2 linked regions of the Drosophila melanogaster genome follow. The protein of the gene in region 2 interacts with the protein of the main gene of each other region in a pairwise test. Each region holds a gene or a part of one and is shown on either strand. Other genes may lie near its edges.

Region 1 (6,893 bases), on a different chromosome or scaffold from region 2:
GGAGGATTGGGTTGTGACCCGGACACAAACGAGCCCTACTTCGCAGAGCATGACGTGTTGATTAATCTGGATGTCAACATTCTCGAAGATGATGTGATTTTGGTGAGCACGCATAGTACGAATATATACAGAATTGCATTAATTTTCTGATATTTATTTTAGATTAATCAAATTCGCTACTATATAGATAGTGTCTTCTTCAACTTTAAGGAAGAAAACAATCCAGCTGTTAGCGTAAATGAACGTGTTTCTATATACACTCAGCTGCGTAGCCTTATAAATAGGTAAGATTGCTGCGCTTAAAGTCATGCTAATTAAATGATTTCACTAAATTTGATTTCGCAGGCTCCTTTGCAAGGATCGTAGATATATCGAAAGAAATATGAGCAATGCGGATTTTGAATGGGAAACCAATCCCGAACTACCACTGCCGAATGAACCTTTTGGCAAGAGGGCCATATTTCCGATGCACTCACTTACTGAGCTCCAAGAGGAAGACACGGGTCGCTTGGTGCAACTGAGAGAGAACTGCAGCATGTTGCACAAATGGCGCAACTTGTAAGACTGGTGCTTGTTTACAAGAATATATTGCATTACTTATATTTTAACTTATATTTTTAGCGAAGGCACTTTACCCCATATGACTTGCAAACTGTGCAATCAGTTGTTGGAATCGGTTCCCCAGCTCCGTTTGCATCTCCTGACCATATTGCATCGTGATCGTGAAAAGCAAATCGACTATTGCAACCAATAAGAATGGTTACATCGTTTAATATGAAAACAGCTGATTTTGAACTTTTTGATTTCTCATTTCTTTTCTTAAAGGACACACTTCACTTGTTTGGTTTAAAAAAATGACGTATTCATGGAATGAAAACAAGTTTTGAATTGAATCTAAACCTACAGAAATCTTCATTACGTTAAATATTTTCTATGTTATGTTGAATGATCTCTCTTCGTTCAATTACGAAGTGTAAAATGTGAAATATAATTTTTTGTTAATTACATCTTTAAAGATATCATTAAATACGAAGACAGCTATACTAACCAGTTCATTACAAGCAAAAATCCATAAACTGCTTGCTGTTTATAAAAATCAAAGCCCTGGGGCGTGCATGTTCTCCCTTTTTGGGCTCTTTTTTTTATTTTAGATTAAACTCACACATTATATTTATGCAACTACAACTACATCGGAGGAATTCTGCAGCGGCACAGGAGTTGGAGTGTTTGCCTCCAGCTCGCAGATCGTATAATTCTGCATGCGGTTTAGGGGCTTGCTGCACAGCCCACACATCTGGTGCTTATACACGCCGTATATCTCGAAATTCAGGATGTTGTACAGATCGAACTGGATGGTGGAGGACAGCTGCGTACACTCCACAATTAAAATATTTTGCTCGTTAAGTTCCACGCTGAAAGGGCATATGGCGTTTATAAAATTGTATATAAAAGCTAAAAAGCATTCTTACCGGAAGTCGTAGTCACTAGTCTCAATTGGCCATTGATATGGCTTTTTGCGCACGTTGTGCGGTGTTTGATCCTGGTTAAGATATATGAGCACTGGTTCATCCGTGGGCAGGCTGCTGTTGTCTGTGCGGGCGCGGAAGTTGAAGTAGTTTTGCCCGATATGGACTCGTAATCCATAGTTGGTGGACAGTCCTTGAACAGGCGAAGGCGTAACAAACACTGCAATCTGTGGCAATGGCGAACAGTCAGCCACCAGCAGCGTGAGACAGTCGGGACGCACCGCAATCTCTCTGAGATTGATTAGGTAATCATCGAAGGTATTGACTATGCCATTGATTACTGAGCAGGAGCGCTTAAGTCCTGAGTCGAAGGTAAGCTCGTGGGAAGCGTCGAACTTCGAGTCCAGCTTGTAGAAGAAGGGGATCTGATGGAAACGCCACTTCACTCCGTTGACCTCCACAGCCAGCCTGAACTGGTCCTGAGGAGTTTGCATTGATATATTTATCTCCTGGCTCATATGCAGACTGTCCACCTTGTCGGCGGATAAGGCGGACACTAAGTGGTCCAGTCGATTCGACCACAGCTCGAACCAGGCGGGCATCTTAAAAAATATAAAGGTGAGTTGATTGGTCTTTTATATATCTTTTCGGAGCGGAAAGTAATTTGATATATCTGATATACTTACATTGTCAAACTTCAGGTCCATGTCGTATTGTGTGATCGAGGTGAAGTTCTCAAAGTTGCTACGCTTGCAATACCTGGAAGTGGGTATGGGCGAGAACTTCAGTACCTCCTTGGGACAGAAGTCGGTGTCCGTCAGCGAGATCTTGTCGGAGCGGAGGAAGGCACGGGCATGCTCCGAGGGCTGGCGAGATGAAAACGTTGGGTTAAAAGAGAATCCACTTCGGGCTTATGTACACTTACACCAGCTCTAGCTGCAAACTGCACCGTGGAACCCTTCTCCGGGCACTCGCTCTCCTCGGTGGCCAGGCCAAACACCACATCGCCATTCAGAGTGTGAGGTCGCTTGGTAAACACCAGCGGTTCATAGGTCAACTTGGTGCAGGCCTAAGGAAAATTATGCAAATGAGTGAGAAAATCCTGTATCCTTAAGTGAAACACCATGTGTTTTTTTTAATGCTTTTTAAAATAAACCTAAAATCTGTCAACTTGATTTTCCAATTATGAAATATGGAATACAATTTAATTTCCTAGCCGGTGGTTCTTCACACAGTATGTCCCAGTAGGTCAATAGCCAGCTATGCTCGGCACGAGTCAAGTGCTCCTTTTGGGTGGCGGGTGTGACACCCTGTAAGTATTATGTAGTTACACTGCTTTCCTCAAGCGTGGAGGCAAGAAAATGTGGGGTTCAGCTGTTCGCTGAAGCTCCAGGCGAGTGGAGTGGGCCACATTACCATGACGAAACAGCAGACAACGGAGCCACAACAACTGCAGCAACGATTAGCGAACCCACACACATCCTGACTGTATGATTGTATGGCCCTCTTCCGCCCCACCGTTCGTGCCTGCGTGCCACCTTACTACACACACACACACACACGCAACCCATCCTTTCAAGCACTCAAGCAGTCGCCGCAATTGTTGGCCCACATTCGTGGGTTGTTTGCGTCCCGGAATCGAGACCGAGAACCGAGTCTGGCAACCGGACTAGAGTAAAGCAGGCCTGGCGGTGTAAGTAGCCCCGTTTGATCAATACGACTCGGTGGGAGCTCAGTAGAAGGCATCCAGTTACGCTACTGTTCAGACGAATTTCTCCTGTCGTAAATTTGTTTTGGGAAAAAATTACATTTTCTTTTATTTTGTAAGAACGCTGTAAAAATCTGGAAAAAAGACCCAGTGCTCTCGACCTATTTTATTTCGGTACCGCCATCGGGAGCATTCAGTTGCGTTGCTTTTATAAATTTATGTTTACTTGATTCTCGGTCGGACAAACTGCAAAATGACTTCGGTAAGTGATATATAAGAAGCATAATAGATATGGATTCTTATGTAGCCACTTTACCTGCTTCTCCAGATCGAGTCAAAACGCGTCCAATATCGAAAGTATTTGGAACGCGCCGGAGTCATCGATGCCTTAAGCAAGGCTCTGATTAAGCTTTACGAAGAGCAGAATAAGCCGGAGGATGCCATTCGCTTTGTACGCAAGTTTATGTGCGAGAGCTGCCCGGACGATGCCCAGTACGATGTAATGAAGAACGACCTCGAGGAGGCCAAGACCCACATCTCGAAACTGGAGCAGGAGCTTGAACGGCTACGCGGACAAATGTGAGTTTCTAAGATCGCGTCTTGTCTGTCCAGTCTTGATTTAGATTCTATTTACACTCAATAGCAAAAAGTCACCGGAGGAGTACCAGGAGCTCACTACTGAGGGCTACAAATCGCTCATGGATGATGAGGAGAACGTGAGCTCACTGCTGCGCAAATACCTGACTCCGGAATTGCTGGAGGAGTACATGCTGGTCACCACACCTGCGCCGGTGGATGCCTACCTATACGATTGCGCCGTCTCCGGATTCGAGCACCACGACGCGCCCGTGGGCATTTTCGCGGCAGATGCTGACAGCTATGACGTGTTCAACAAACTCTTTGATCCGATCATAAAGGACTATCATGGCCAGATGGACAACGAGAACGATGTGCTGCAGAAAGACCCAGACTTTGGCAACGTGGACGAGATCGAGAACTTGGATCCGGAGCGCAAGTACATTCTGTCCGCACGAATCAGATTGGCTCGCAATATCGAAGGTCTGCCCTTCTTCCCCAAACTGACCGAGAAGCAATTCATAGAGGTGGAGGAGAAGGTGCGTTCGGCCACGGAGACAATGGATGGCGAGCTGATTGGCTCCTATCTGACAATGGCGGACATCGATGCTGAGACCCAGGCGGAGATGGTCAAGAGACATATATTATTCCAGCGCGGCGATGAGAAGCTGACCACAGCCGGCTGCTATCGTTTCTGGCCAACTGGTCGTGGTGTCTACCACAATCCCGCCGAGACCTTCTTGATCTGGGTGAATCGCCAGGACCATGTGCACATTATGTCCATGGCACAGTGCGGCGACTTGGGCGATGTTTACAATCGCCTTGTCAACGGTCTAACCGAACTGGAGAAGACGTTGGCCTTTGCCCGGCATCCGCGTTATGGAAACCTTACGGCTTGCCCCACCAATTTGGGCACCACCCTGCGGGCTTCGGTGCACATCCGTCTGCCGCTACTCAGCAAGGACCCCGATCGTCTACTCGCCCTCGCCGAGGAACAGCAGCTGCAGGTACGCGGCACCGATGGCGGCGAGCTGTCCACCGTGGAAGATGGTGTCATGGACATATCAAATAAGAGGAAGCTTGGTTTCACCGAGTTCGAACTGGTCAAAACTCTGCAGGATGGCGTTGTGACCCTGATTAACGCAGAGGAAGAGCTCGAAATATCCGGACAGGAGGGTTAGAAACAAATAGCCAATACTTAAAAACCTTGTAAAGCAATTAATATCACTATAAAGTACTCACGAACACTCACAGACGAACACTTAGAGAAACAGGAGAAACGTATCTTTGGTTAAATAAATTTGTCCCTAGCCACAGACAATCACTCACCTTCCAGTCGTCCTCGTCATCCTTTGAATTTCGCTGAACCTGGCCGGTCAGCTTGAACCAATTGGACTTGGTCGATGCCAGCACGTCCAGGGTAATGTTCCATCTATGAAGTGCATCCGCAGCATGATTTTCGTTCATGTGGTCCGTGTGCTCCAATGTAAGGCCGATCTGCTTGCCTTTCATGTCCGACGTTTTCAAAACGTCTTCGGCACAAAAGTTACCTTCGATCTGAACGAAAATTGGTTTTAGCTTTAAATATTGTTAAATATTTAATTTTATTTCTCACCCTGGTGTTCTTCTCGTTGTACATAAGCATGGTAAAGTTGCGATCGTGGCCCAGGTGTATGGAACTTAGCTGGGTGAAGCCAAATATGTACATCAAAGCATTGACCACCATATTGCCGGAGAACCCACTGGAAGTGAAGTGATTAGCTGAGTAGCAAATCGGTTTCGAAATTCAAAAATTACTTCTCCGTGAACTCGGACTTTAGCAGCATCCCCCTGTACTTGATGAGCTCGTTGAGATTGGTGGTCATGCTCAGTCGGACGCCCAAATCCGTCATTGGGTAGCTAAATAGTTGAACCTGCGAGCTTGACTTTATTATTATTCTTAATTTTACCCATTTTCAGATGCTTAAAGTAGTTAATTAAATTTAGTTAATTTATTTCATATATTTTGGTATTATTTTTCTCAACAAAACACTTACCACATCGTTCCGACCCTCGGGCACCATGATCTCTTCGAAGGGCGCCGCCGCTGTCTTCGTGATCAAACCCCTGGTCTTGGTCACCGCCCGCGACTTGAAGGACAGGCCACTGGTCAGGTTTTGGGGTCGGGAGAAGGAGTAGCGCCTGCACTTACTGCCACTCTCGTTCAGATGCAGTTCGCTGCTAAAGGGGATGTAGATGAGGAAGCCCTGCTCCCGGTTGATCTCGTGATCGAGGTTGAGGAACGGATTGTAGCTACGACTCCGCACCGAGGCGTATGAAGAGTATCGGGCATCGATTTCCAGCGTGTGCTTGGTTATGGGCGAGTTCCGCTGCTCTGTTATATTACCACGCAACGAGGTTAGTACGGTGGTCTGCAGCAGGACGTCGGAGGAGGTTCCCAGCACCGTGGGCACCGTGTAGCGATTCATGAAAGGCCAACGAACAGTCTGCATGTTTATGTGACTGTCTGTCCGAATGATTTGCTGCATTCTTTCCAGAACTGTGGAAAACGGGCATGAACCGCACATGGCTGATGGTCAAGAGGTCAATGTACTCACTGTTGTCGTAGGTCAGCTGCCGGAACATCCGCTGGTTGAGGTAGTACGACAGCACCGTCTTGCCCTCCATTTGCAGGATGAACTCCAGATGCAGGTCCTTCGAGTTGATGATCGGAGCCTGCAGCATGGCCAATAGAGCCTTGATGCTCTTAAAGGTAAAAGGATCGCTGCCATTTCGCGATTGCATCTTGTTCAGGATGGTATCTGGCAGCCCACGTGCCTTGATGTATAGCTGGAAGAAGTAGAGATGGCTTATTTGATTCTTGAAACACCGAGAGGTTGTACTTACCGCCAGTTGTCCTGTGAATTTGCCTAGAGCTTCGGTGTCGAATTTGAAGAAGGCCACCACTGGCATGTCCGACTTTGGATCGCCCACGAGGAATACCTGAAGCATTGCACCGATGCCGAACTTGGAGTCGCGATAGTCAAAGATGTAGTTACCGGTGACCCAGTAGCGTGACTCGGGCTTCTGGGGCAGATGACGATGCATGTAGGACAACAGACGGCGTCTAAATGAAGGATATACGACATCTGTGGATGGCTGTG
Region 2 (6,005 bases):
TAAGTACAAGACTCTAGCCTTCGGCAGCTTCGACGAAATTCGAGACGTGGGCTATGTGTTTGGCAAAAACTACTTTGAGAGCATGGCCAAGGCTGGTCGATTGGGCCGCTTCAATCAGTGGTTCAACAAAGAGCCACCCAAGCGGGTTAACCATGCCTCCCTCAACGAGTACACGTTCATCGATCTGGCGCAGATCGTGTGCCGTCTGCCGGAGACATACGCCGTGAATACCGCGGAACTCTTTAGCGAGGACGAAGACTGTGATGGCTACATTTCGGAGCCGACCACACTGAATACGGTAGGTGATCCGGTAACATTGCAATATCTATCTATGTATACTTTTACTAAATAATTATTTCGCACAGGATCGGCGTCGCATCCAGGTGTCGCGCGCTGGCAACTCGTTATCCTTTTCCGAAACGGAAATGGACTCGGACGTGGAGCTTGACCTGAAGCTGGAGCGCAAGACGGACAAGTCCACACAGTCGTCGCCGCCGAGTAACAGCAGGTCGGACATGCGCGGCAAGGAAGAGGCTAGACATATGTCTAATTGGCATTGGGGTGTGAAGCACAAGGATGAGACTGGCAGCGGAGCCACTGAAGCCACAAAAACACAAACCGGTCAGGAGCAGGAACTCCAGCAGGAGCAACAGGATCAGGGAGCTACGGCTGAGCAGCTGGTGGATAAAGACAAGGAGGAGAACAAAGAGAACAGAAGTAGCCCGAATAACGAAACCAAAAACTAGCTATATATGGACAAACAAAACAATTACAAATACAATGCAAATTCGAAGCGTGGCTATATACTCAACAAGAAGCATTAACAAGCCGAGGACGAGGTGCCTTTCGCTTGCCAGACGCCCAACGGCACAAGGTAACCGCCCGCCCCCCCCACTTCACCAAGAAAGCAACCGCAACTACTCAATCATCAAATCTCCAACGAAACGAAGTAAAATATAGCAATGACAAGGAAAATTGTTAACCTATAGGTTTTATAGCAACCAAGACTTAGGCTTAGCTTAGCGTATGAAACGATTAACCCACAATCCTGCATCCCATCCCTCTCATTCACCTAACCAATCCACACACATTGTAATGGAAGGCACAAGAAGTCCACAAACTTTGTATATACATATAGTTATATATTTTTACTGAAGCAACCGATATTGTAGTACCGAAATTGAGACTCCTTCGCAATGAATCCCCCTCAACACAAAATTTAGCCCCAAAATTGCCGCACACTCGTGTAGTCTCTCTATTATTTTAGGCAACAAATCTTTTGTTTAATGGTCGGATTTTTTTTGTAAATGCAAACAAATAAATTTAAAAAGGGAGTACAAACAGATTTTGCTCTTTTTATGTATGTTCAATTGTTAATTTTAAAATATGAAATGAAATCATATTTCGTTTTTACGAAAGGTATGAGAAAAAACAAGACCGTTGAAAAATTCAAATTTTTTTCGCAATGTTTCTTTTTTATTTGAACGAAGCACAAATCAAATACGATTGCCTGCAGGCAGCAGCAGCTCATCCAGTAGCTCGGCCACAAATCGTGCATCCACCACAAGATTTGGTTCCGGCTGGCCGTGTGGTGGCCAGTGGTCCGTCTCATGGTAGTGGACCGGATAGAAATAGACATACTCTTCGATATGCTGGCGGGGCTGAGAGGACATGGGACTGTGGAGCTGCACATGCCGTCGTCCAGGTGGACGATGCATTTGCAGCTGTTGACCCACGACAAGTAGATCCAAGGTGTTATTATTGGATGCTTTGAATTTAACCGATTTATTCGGATGATTGCGTCTGATCTGCGTTGTCTGCTTCCTGGCCATTGGCAACGGCATCGGCGTCTGCTGACCACCACCGCTCATCCGTTGGCCAGGATGGGCGACGAACGGTGGCTGCAGGAGCGGATCGTGGATGAGCAAGTCGCTGGACCTCTTGCCCGTCAGCCGCTTGAGGCGTCTACCAATCCTGTCCCACTCGTTAAGTTGCCGCTGATGCGCCTGCTGCAAGCGCCAAAGTGTTGTTGCAACGTCCATTTTGTTGAATTTTTTTTCCAATTTCAATATTTTTTTTTTGTAATATTTTCTACTAACCAAAAAGGTGGCAATTCTATAATTTTGATAGCCATAGTCCAGGGATCCGTGTAGGCATTTGTATTGGTGTTGGGGCAACTGTCAAGTTAACCTCACTAAAAACGGAGGCGAACTTTCAGTATTGAAGTGAGTTTTCACGTTTGCAGAACTCTGAATAATAGAAACTCTGAATTGCTGACCGGCTGACTTCGAACTTTTGTGAACTTTTAATTTGATACTTTGTTAATTTAAGTGCTTCTTAGTGTTGTGGACCAATAAGGAAAATCAAAATGGCTAAACGGGGAAAAAAGGGAGGTAAGAACACAAAATAGCCTGTTTTTCTTTGCTTTTTTCTTCGTTTGATAATCTCAACTGTCAAATCAAAAAAAAAATAATAATAATTAATAAGTTATTCATGCCTCTAAACGTTCAAATTCAATTGGCATTGCAGGCATACCGAGGGCCGAAATGGTGCAAGTGGCTTCCGCGAATCGCGACGAAAACCAGGTGACAGAGTTGAAGAAGGCCGATTACTTGCCCTATCTGTTCAATCTGGTCATGCCGAAGATGTTCTTCAAGAGCCCCAACAGAATTGTGATGGCCCGCCTGTATCCCGATGTCCATAAGCACGATCAGCAGTCAGCCGAATATTTTGAGGGCTTCCAGGCGCCCTGCTTCGATTTGCCGGCTTCCCTTTTCCCGGATAACGCTCCGATAGATAAGATCGTCTTTATGCCCACGGTTATGTTGCCCATGGGCTTCGAAGCCGGTGGGGTTTTTGGGCCGGGTGTACTTCCACGTGATTGCTATCCCGTTGATCTGATTAGGACGGAACATGAGGGCCCAATGCCGCCGCTGTTCGTCGGTCTGCGCAGCATGAATATCAGCCTGGCGTCGATGATCGATAGTTTCCTGGACATGTACGACAATCCGGAAGGAGAGGACGCATTCGTGTATGAGATGCATGCCACCGATCATCATTACGATGATGATATAACCGAGGAGCTAATGCTTCGCCCTGACTTCACCTTGTCGGTGGCCTACAGTTTGCCGGCAACAATGCGTCTACCGTCGCCCTATCCATATCCTTGTGTCCAGGCGCAGGACAACATTTATACCCCGGATTTGTCCAAAGTCCTGATGCTTATGCCGCACCAGTTGAACATTACGGTGTCCATTCTGTCCACCGTTAACAATCCGCATGTTCCATCTGTGGCATTCGCCACCATGTGTGATGAGGAGGAGTGCCCCACGTTCGACCTGCCCACCGATGTCTTTCCCATTTGTGAGGGCGTCAATCGTCCAATCTTTCTGCCCAAGCGTTTCATGCCCAAGGGATTCGAAGCCTGCTGCGTCTTCAAGCCGGGAAGTCTTTCGGAGCTGTGGTTCATTAAACGGATAGGTCGATTCGGCACTCCGCAACAGCAGCACAACTGTACCATTACACCACCTCTGTTTGTGGGCAAATACTCCCGCGATGGTGAGTGCACCGATATGATAGAGGAAATCAGAATGAATTTTGACAAGAAAGCCCGCGAAAGTGCCAAGTCCATTGCAAGTTTAACGCTTGAAACTCTCGGGGGGCTTAGTAGGCACATAACCTCCACCAAGGGCTTCTTGGTAATGGAATCGGACAAACCGACGCCTCCAGCGGGTGCTTACAGTGTGGAAAGCTACGAAGAGGCCTCTGAAGATGGATGCATTGCGAAGGTGACCAAGGAATGTGCCAGTAAAATCACAGATACTCGAGATGATGGAATAAATACAGCAGACTATCAGTCTCAATTTCCCGAACTGGAACCGGAACCGGAACCTGAACCGGAGGATGAAGGCGAAGATGTGGCCAATAAGAAGAAATGCCTCTCGTGCTTTAAGATTGATAGCGACATTGATGTTATGTCTCATGCCATTGCCGAATTGACCGTCGCCGAATTGAGTATGCTGGGCGAGGAGAACCCAGTGCCCGGGGTCGATACCGAACTCGCCTTGGACCAGCTGCGCGAGGTCTTAGAGAATCGCGGCGAGATTCGATCCAACACCGACGACTTGATGCGGGATCACATATACAGGATGGAGCGTGATCTCATGCTGGCTCTGCGTCAGCCAATCCGCAAGTGCTGCGAATGCACAGTGAACTTCTAGATGCATTATTCCAATGTTTGTATTTTGATTACATATAATGTTGTAATGGTTTTTTTTTTAATTTTATTAAGGGTTTTCGGTTTGTCACTCAGAATGCACGTTTACATTATCTTTTTTGGGTGTACTAGAGTACTAGGGGCTGTGTGTGTATTGTGTGTATTGAGTGTGTATTGTGTATTGCTGTGCTGTGCCATTTAATCTCTTAAATCATGTGTTTTTCTTGTTTGTTTGTTTTGCAGAATTGAATTTAGTTAGTCTAGGAGGCCAACCAAAACATCTAGATTTGTATAACTAGTAAAAAAAAAAAAAAGATAAAACTGTGATATATTAATATTTAATTATACAAGATGCAGCTTCGTTTTCAGTGTATTTACAATTCGTAGCAATTCTTCCATGTCTTTTCGTGTAACGCACATGCAATTTTTCTATAACTTGATGGAAATTTATACCAATTACTAGACAACCAGGTTTTTTTTTGCCGAAGATACTATCTTCAACAATTTTGAATTTGCTTGAAAAACCTATTATATATATGTATGTATATACTTCTAGATATTGAAATATTAGCTAGTCTTTGCAGTGGCTCAATTTGATCGTTCAAAATAAACATATGCGCTCAAACAATATCGAAGTTCCCTTGAAGCGCCGCCTAAATAACACACAATTTGTAAAAACTAATAACAAATTCACATCCGATGATCCTAGCGTTTCCAATTCAGATTGATTACCCTTCTCGTTCTTTCAATCATCTTTTTTCTTATGCTTCTTAATTACATAATATTTATGTATAATGGGGCATGCAAACTAGTTTCTATGCATTTCACAATTCGCTTTTCGTTTATTGTTTTTTTTTTTTTTTTTGTATCATTTTTCGTTTATGTTGCAATTAACTGTAGTGTATATTGTATTTGTATATATTAACTATATAATCTTTTTTTCATTTTTTACATGCACAAACTCATGAGTCCAATGTAGGCAATTTTATATTGTGTAGTATCGTGTTATTTGTTACTCGTAATTTGTTATTTGCCTTCTTGCCTTTCTTTCCCTAAAAAAAAAAATCTATAAAGTTAAGGACTTAAGACTTAGTTTAGGTAGAACGCAACTGAAGACCCGCGCGATGCACCATCTCCGTTTTATCCAGGCTGTTTTCGCGTCGTCTTTGCCCAGCAAGTGGGTGGGTAATAATATTTGTAATTTATAATTGGTTGTTAAATATTGTTGTCGATCGCAAGATTATGTGATCTTCTGTATAAGGTGTATTATGCGTTTCTCACTTAAAAAGTTGACAACAAACAATAGTATAGTTGTCGGTATTTCGTATCCCTTTGCATCCATATTTATAAGTATTGTTTATGTATTAAAAAAAAATGTTTAATATCAATTAATTGCAAATTGCCTACATTGCTTCTAGGTGCGTTTGGGGCATGTGGTGGGGGATGGGGATCGAAAGCCGTAAACAAAATGCAGATGCGTAAACGGATACGAAAAGCCGACAAAATGTGGAAACTAGCTTTTAGTCAGGTGGTTGATTGGATTAGTGGTGATTCAGCTGCTGAAGGCGGATTTTGGGGACGGGTGATCGTGTGGTTGTGTGGTTGGGTGGTTTTGTGGTTGACTGGTTCGACTAGGCGTGGATAGGGCATCTCAGATCTGGCCAACCAGCTCCTGGATGCTGCGCAGTAGATCTTCCATATTTCACAAGAGATCCCGGTGAAACACCCATGTGTGTTTTGTATGAGCAAACTTATGGGACAGCCACTGCGACTCCAGGAGATTGAAGCG

What was found.
Region 1: the proteins of CG15330 (region 2) and CG4546 interact in a two-hybrid assay, tested with the Drosophila melanogaster proteins (one large-scale study listed by BioGRID).

The regions. Positions count from the first base shown.
Region 1 is NT_033777.3:15,843,353-15,850,245, forward strand, and holds CG4546 (uncharacterized protein), read left to right. Parts: upstream 1-3,181; 5' UTR 3,182-3,427; coding exon 3,428-3,436; intron 3,437-3,502; coding exon 3,503-3,753; intron 3,754-3,817; coding exon 3,818-4,931; 3' UTR 4,932-5,079; downstream 5,080-6,893. Other genes in the region: spn-E (spindle E), read left to right, coding at 1-102, 163-284, 346-558, 622-754; cv-d (crossveinless d), read right to left, coding at 1,172-1,412, 1,470-2,068, 2,153-2,332, 2,392-2,535, 5,080-5,307, 5,366-5,492, 5,548-5,663, 5,787-6,289 and 2 more.
Region 2 is NC_004354.4:7,952,159-7,958,163, reverse strand, and holds CG15330 (uncharacterized protein), read right to left. Parts: upstream 2,101-6,005; 5' UTR 2,043-2,100; coding exon 1,497-2,042; 3' UTR 1,462-1,496; downstream 1-1,461. Other genes in the region: sws (swiss cheese), read left to right, coding at 1-298, 366-746; CG15332 (uncharacterized protein), read left to right, coding at 2,369-2,393, 2,530-4,220; Ubr3 ubiquitin ligase, read right to left, coding at 5,919-6,005.